Linked DNA regions of Drosophila melanogaster. Changing the gene in region 2 together with the main gene of any one other region gives a genetic interaction. Each region holds a gene or a part of one and is shown on either strand. Other genes may lie near its edges.

Region 1 (3,752 bases), on a different chromosome or scaffold from region 2:
CCACCAGCAGGAGCGACGTATCTAGACGACGTACTCGGCCACCTGCCCGCATTCCGCCAGCTGCAGCTTCTTCAATTTACATTACACGTTACAATTATACATAAAGAATATAATATTATACCTTAACCCCAAGATTGGCAGTGGTTTCATTTGACGGGGCTGTTTCCATAGAAATTCGGACTACTGGTTAATTGGTTGTGTGGTACGAGTATCAGTGTATTTATTTTGTTTTTTCCTATTTAACAATAAGTATGTATGCACTTCGTCTTGCAATAAACGAAAAGGTAGAATTGGAACAGATAAAATACCCAAGTTTTGTATAAGTTATGATACACAATTGTTTTAAAATCTGGAGAAATAATTGATTGTTTAAACTAGCTAGTGCTAAAACGATTACATTTCTATTGAAGTGCTCCCAAGTAGCTGGCGGCTATATAAATTCGTCTTAGGCCTGGAGCATGGGCCGTTTTTCCTTGGCCTGGAGGTGGTCGTTCGTCGTTGCGTAGCCAGTGCCGCCCTGTGAAATAGTCGAGAAACCTTAGCAATGCAGAATAGTTGCACAGTTCGCGATGTACTTACTCGCTGCAGGGGAATGATGTCCTTCTCCTTGAGCTTGCGATCCGTGAGCGGATGGATCATGTCCTTTCTGATCAGCCGTTCCACGCACTCCATGGTCACCACATCGCCACTGTAGTGAAGAGGTTACTATTAAAAGGGTTTTCAACGCGAAATCCCAGCGAGCACTCACGTGGGACGCAGCACAGCGCAGGGCACCGCGTTGCTGAGCACGTCGTGGGTAATGGGGCACATGTAGCGCGCCTCCTTGGCAATCAGCGAGCGCTTCGTGTCGCCGTCCTTGAGCAGCGTGAACTTCACATCAATCAGATCCTTGACTCGCAGCGGTTTCTGCGACACCGGGCAGTAGATGGTGGCGTCGGGCTTCTGGGCCTTGGCTAACCCGGCATTGGGGCACTCGGAGGGCAGCCAGAAGCTGGGCAGCTTCTTCTCGTGCCCGTTGGTCATGTTGGATATCGAGGATGCGGACGAGGATTCAGATGAAGCGGCAGCAGCGGCGGAAGAGGTCGACGGCTTCTCGCTGGCAGCGGCCGAGGAGTGGGCGGGTGTCATCGCTGGCTTCTCGGCATTAACAAAGCGCTCCATGCGCGCCTGCTGCTTGCTGTTGGCCTCCTGGCTCAGTTTATCCTCCTCCGCGCGCCGCAGACGCTCGTACTCCTTCAGTCGGCGGCTGTACTCGTTCTTCTTGGTCACGATGTACTGCAGGATGGCCTCCTTGTCGAATAGATAGCCATCCTTGGTGATCACTGGCCTGCGACATGGTTGCAGCGTCAAGGAGCAGCAGTCGAAGGATTTCACCGAATCCTTGCCCAGGCGCTGGGCATTCGTGCCGTAGCCGGACTCCGCCGCGTCACGCTTCTTCTCGTTGTAGGTGTACACGGCTCCGGCCGTGCAGTTACGTGCGTGGCGAGTCATTTCAATAGAGTTTCCTGGATTTGGCAGCGAAAAATTTGAATAAACTGCTTAAAATAGTTTATTTACTGCTAGATACGGTGTGACCGTATCTTGATCACTAAATAAGCTGAGACGCAATGGAAATCCGCTGAAATCTGCCAACTCAATAGCCGATAAAAACAACGAGCTATAAGCTGATACAAAACCTTTTCATCACTTGGTGTACAAAACAAACAGTTTTACAAGTTTAATACATTTTTTTTTATTTTGATTTTTAAAACTGTTTAAGCTACTGGTATTTTCAGCTTAGCTATAAACTAGCTATGAGTTCGAAGCCACCGATGTGGTATTTTCGGTATATTGCGCGGTATATTCTTTGCAAATAATTCCAAGTCCTCGGATTTCCGGGTTTTTCCTTGATTCCCCCGGATTGTATTGGCTTTGGGCGGCCGGCGATGGACTACCAGTACTTCGAGGAGGAATCGGACTACATTGATCTGGACGAGGAGGAGGAGGATGACGACGTGGTGACAGCCGGCAGCTTGGACCACAGATTTGGGCAGCCAAACGGCGAGGAGGACTATTATTTCGGCGGGGACGATGTGGAGGAGGAGCTGGTGGTAGATGGACACGGTGTCCTGGAGCTGGCCGGGCGCCTACTCGAGAGCCTGCAGAGCTGCGTGCAGCCATCTGTGCTGCAGGTCATGCAGTATGTGGCGCCCATGCTGCTCCTCTGCCTCCTGTGCCGCCTGCTGTGCCTCCTCTACTCGCAGCGCAGACGCCTCACCAGCCTGGCACCGCTGCATTTGTTCCACTTCGCCTGCGGCTTGATTATACTGCAGATCACGGTGGGCTACCGACTGCTCCTACTTCTCCTGCTGGCCGCCGTGGGCTACCTGCTGCTCCAGCTATTGCGACTGGGACGAAGAGGAGCTCAAGTTCTGGCCGTTCTAACCGTGGGCAGCCAGTTCCTGTACGAACTGCTCATTTGGCGGCGGCGCAGTGACTGGCCACAGCTGCGCGGCATCCAGATGGTGGTCAATATGAAGCTTATCTCGCTGGGCTTCGACCTGACCGCCAGTGGGCAGCTGCAGGCGAGGATTCCGGGTCCGTTTGCCTACCTGGGCTACATCTACAGTCCGGCCACCTGCGCCTTGGGGCCCTGGGTGAGCTTCGGCTGCTACATGGACTGTCTGGTGCCACGGAATAGCTGGCTGGTCAGCCTGCGTCGCCTCTTGCCCAACGTGGTGATCTGCGTGCTGGCCGTGACCGTGTCCAATTGCGTGGCTCCGGCGCTGAGTGACTTCTTCGGGGATAGCTCGCACTTCCTGGTCATGTACTGGGACGCACTGAGTGTGCGCAGCAGCCACTACTTTGTGGGCATGATGGCGCAGGCGCTGCTGGTAGCCTCCGATCAGCGACTGGACGGTGCCACCAAGGAGTCGGACATGCTGGGTCCGTTGATCTCGCAGCCCTGGCGCATCGAGTGGCCGCGCTCGATCAGCTCATTGGTCCGGAGCTGGAACATTCCCATGCACGAGTGGCTCAAACGGTACATCTACGCGCCCTGCAAGCCCACCGCGTCCACCTCGAGGGGACGCATCCTGGTGGTCGTGCTCTCCACCTATCTGGTGTCCAGCCTGCTGCACGGCATGGATCTGCGCATCTATCTGGTGCTCATCTCGCTGGCGTTCCTAGCCGAGGGTGAATCGCTGCTCAGGCGGCAGCTCGCCAGCCTCCTGAATGCCTGCATCACTGCCAATCTGTGTCCGGGCAAGGAACGATGTCGGTATAGCCACTGCCCGAGCAAACGGCGATTGAACTCCCTGTCCTACTGGCTGGCGAGGCTCACTAATCTGGCATTCACGGCGCTGGCCATCTTCCACCTGGCCTATCTGGGCGTCGTGCTGCTGGGCGATGACCTGGAAGTCGGCGAGGATGGCGACTCCTTCCTGTGGCACTGGCAGCAGGCTGGCTATCTCAGCCACTACATCGGTTTGGGCACCTTCGTCCTTTACCTGTTCATCTCGTAGACTCCGCAGGATCTTGCCGTCGCCAATACTCACTATGACTGATCTACACGTATTTATATTTGTAATCCCAAGCGTATATGCGCTTGTACTTTTTGTATCTTGTATCTATCTATTCGTATCTTGTAGTCTGTGTGCTGTGTGAGTACTTAATATTAAAGCATTCTGTGAAACGGACGCTGTGACGCGCTTCAATTTGGGTTCCTCTCAACTTCCAGCTGAATGGATAGCACTCCTGGGGGAAACTGGAAC
Region 2 (3,752 bases):
AGAGCGAATCGAATACTGCCTCCTTGTCAATTACAGCGACAGTTGCCATGGCCGTCACTCCGTCATCGTCATCGTCATCGTCATCGTAGGGACAAATGTCAGGGAACCCTTTATATGGTCGGTCGGGTGGGTCAGTCACATATGAACAGGAACCGCGCCCACCGGATTGCTGGGCCGCCAGACATGTTCCACTCGTTTTTGGGTAATTACATTTGCAGCCCGTCTGTCCTGTCCGCCGACTTTTGTCAAATACAAAGCGGCAAAATGTTGTGCGAAATTCGGCAGAACAAAGTGCTGGGGTTGGGGTTCGGATGCGAAACCGGAGTAAACATAAATCAATATCATCGGCTACAGGGCGGACAGATTCCCGACATCAATCAGGGGCCCGCATCCGAAATGTAGGGAGCGCAGGAGACGCGCGGCGCGTCTCCTCCTGAAATTAAGACGATGGATCAATGTATGACGAAGGCACCACAAAGGAGGGTCCGACAAAGAGAGAGACAAGACCCAGACCGAAACCATTCTGTTAGAAGGAGGTTCCCTCCGCCGCCTTTGCGGAGCCCCTTCTCGATCCCCTCACCCTCCGTTCGATCGCGTGTTCTTCTTCAATTACAGCGCCATTATACCGAAAGCCGAAAACGTTTTACGGTGCGAAAGCCTGCGGACCCCGAGGGCAAAGTTAACCCCTTGAGAGCGGTACATATTTAGAAGTTCTACATAAGAATATTGGTCCTCCTAAACGTTCAAATATAATTAGGAACATATAATGCCTAATGGAACATCAAGATATAAGGAGGTTTTGTTAGTTTAATCTCTTCTTGAAATTTCATAATATCTTATAATCGACTAGGTACACAGTTGATGTTTCAGTTACTAGCTCTCTAGAAATTTAACACGATATTAGTTATTACTATATTATTTAACGTATTTAAGTAAATGTGAAGTATGCAAAAATATTATATTTTACCTCCATAAATACACTAATATTTTTCAGGTTGCCACATTGGGCCTCAGTGGGTTAAAGGCAAGCCGATCACCGCGGGTTCCTTCCACTTGCTTTCGATCGCCGGAGAAAGAAAGAGCTTTGTGTTTCTTCATATTTTTTTTTTTGCCTCTGCGGCGTAATTCAGGATTCTCCTTGCTCTGTTATTATCGGCGGGTTTGAGCTTGGGTTTGGGGTTACTTTTTGGTTGGTGGTTGGTTGGTTGGTAATTGCCCTGATGTTCAAGCTCAGCAGGCGGCTTCTTCTGCGTGGCGAAAATTGGGGCAGGGGCAGCGGTTGAGATCAAATTTAAAAACAATCAAATTTTTTTCTGCTGCGGCTATGCATAGAGGCAAATTAAAACCGGGTATTATCCAAACACGTGTATAATCAAAAACCGATGGTGGAGGCAGTAACTACCAGTCAAAATTCAGCTTGAAAGGTGTAAGCCAAAAGAAAGCTCTAAATTTGAGGCGTGGCATTCGCTGCAATCAAATATGTTGCTCTAATAATTGCTTCTTTGTATGCAATATTTAAGAACGTTCTGTTATAAATGGAAAAATCACTGAAAATATATCACTCGAATTTTTAGTATAGTTTAGCTTAGTAGCTATTAAAAGGAAAATACTCCATAAATGTGAATGTATAAATTTGAAACAAAACATATGGTATTTGCAGTGGTTAAAAAAAAATGTAAATAAAAATAAATAAATTTTATTAATTTTTTACTGGTAAAATTTGAATCGTTTTTTAGAAGATAAAGAAGAAAGAAAAATATTTGTTTATATCATTTCATATATGTTGCTTGTCATGAACCAGAGTTCCATCATACCCTTTTCGAATAGAAAAAGAGATAACACGCCTTTACAAATTTCGAGTTCGAAATTGAGAGAACGTGTTCGAAAGAGAAAGAGCGGCGCTCGAAGATGAGTTTCGAACAACGGGCAATGTTTCGATTCTCGAACGACTCGCATTCAGATTGTTTTCGTCCGTTGATTCGAAAAGACGTGTGAACTGAGACTCGGAGATACAGCGGAAAGGATCTAGAAGATACGCGTAGTTTGGCCCACCAAAACAACTACTGACCGAACGGATTGTTGTGGCCCAGTGAAGTTATCGTTGAAATTGGAAATTGATCAAATGAATAAATGTATCCGCGAGATACGCCCAGTGAAGTTTTAATTTTCTAGCCGGAGAGAAAAATCAAGTGTGAAAAGCAAAAAGGAAAAACGAAAAACGAAAAACCGCCCCCACAACAATAACAAAAACAACCGGTACGCCACCCCCCGAAAAATTGACGTCGCCGTCGCCCTCGTCGCAATCGTTTGGAAATAAATCGTGTTTTTGCATTTGTTGTTTTTTGTTGTTTATACGCCAAGTTATTTACGTCGTCGCAAAGCAAAAAGAAAAAATTGAATAAATAACAACAAAACGGCTGGCGAAAAACAAATCGAGTCGGCGAAAATGTTTTACAATTAAAATTACGCGCGCAGCGGGCACAAAGGTACCAATATACACGAGTGCGAGCGCGAGTACGAGTATCTGCAAGATACACACACGTAGATCAAATAAAGCAGCGCAATATGCGCAAATTAAACTAAAATGCAGCACATCAGAGCTGTAAAAACTTTTACGACAGCGACTACGACTGGTAACTTGCCACCCGCACAGTCGAAAATAATACCAGATACAAATTAAGGTCGCCCAGCGGCAGCGCATAAACACGGTGGAACGGGAAGTGGCTGTGGAAGTGGAAGCGGAGGATTCTCTCGCCTCCTACCTGGAGTATATTAGTCTCAGTCCTTAGATCCTTACACAAAAGGATAGCCAGCCAGGGAGCGCAGAACGCACACACAAGGGCCGTAAAACATTTTGGGCTGCTGCTATACTGCAGGTCTCCTCCTCTCAGGACTCGTAAATTTCCAGCCCAACCACCACCACCGCCGCCCGAAAAACGGAAAATAGAAACACCGAAAAATCCAAGACACCGCCAAGTAACTGCATCCTCAACCCGCTTATATATAGAACTATATAGGTACATATATCCGGGCAGCGATGGCGGGTAACATTGTCAAATGGTGGAAGCATAAAATTCTCGGCGGCTACAAACAATTCTCAGGTAAGCGAAAGCCAAGCGTTCTCAACTTGTTTAGTGAATTTCCAGATAGTTGGCAGCAGATATGGAAAAGATGGATGTTAATGCTCTCGTGGGGAGAGACAGCTGGGCGATAGCATTCAGGGAAACAATTTGTTGGCCACAGTCAAGTAAATTAAATTGAAATATTGAGTGAGTCAGGGATTCGCAGGAAGATATCTTATAAATATGAAGAAAGTCGCTTAGGAATATATAATTATTGATTTATAATTGCATTTACTATTGAAATAATGATCCATTCCTATATCCACCTACCTGACACTAAAACCACTAACCCATGCAGAATGTTTTCCTTATTCATTTTTCCGTGGCCTCTTATCGAAGGCCATTCCCATTAACATACGACTATCTGGGCCGAAGATCTAAAATATTACCTTCTCCCAAACAATTGTTCACTCACCCGCACACAGATATGTATGTATTTGTGTGTATGTGTGTATTCGAATTCATTGAGTCAAGGGCTTCTCCCACATCCTTTTCCAATAATTACGGCGAACAACTAAAAGTTGAAAATAAAATGTAGGCAATCGCCCGGCTGCATTTTTATCTGGAAGATACACAGCCGTTCGTTCGCTTGTGGTCTTTGGAAATGGAAATGAAAATGGGTAGGAGAAT

Evidence for each region.
Region 1: of nkd (region 2) and por, changing one enhances a phenotype caused by changing the other (phenotypic enhancement), as found in Drosophila melanogaster (one study listed by BioGRID).

What each region holds. Positions count from the first base shown.
Region 1 is NC_004354.4:18,377,927-18,381,678, reverse strand, and holds the start of por (porcupine), read left to right. Parts: upstream 1-1,824; 5' UTR 1,825-1,925; coding exon 1,926-3,503; 3' UTR 3,504-3,552; exon of another isoform or gene 3,553-3,629; 3' UTR 3,630-3,752. Other genes in the region: CG6179 (uncharacterized protein), read right to left, coding at 446-517, 580-688, 749-1,491. UniProt on the Drosophila melanogaster protein: Protein-serine O-palmitoleoyltransferase that acts as a key regulator of the Wnt signaling pathway by mediating the attachment of palmitoleate, a 16-carbon monounsaturated fatty acid (C16:1(9Z)), to Wnt proteins.
Region 2 is NT_037436.4:19,043,653-19,047,404, reverse strand, and holds the start of nkd (naked cuticle), read left to right. Parts: upstream 1-1,955; 5' UTR 1,956-3,037; coding exon 3,038-3,101; intron 3,102-3,752. UniProt on the Drosophila melanogaster protein: Cell autonomous antagonist of the canonical Wnt signaling pathway. May activate a second Wnt signaling pathway that controls planar cell polarity. Required for neuroblast specification.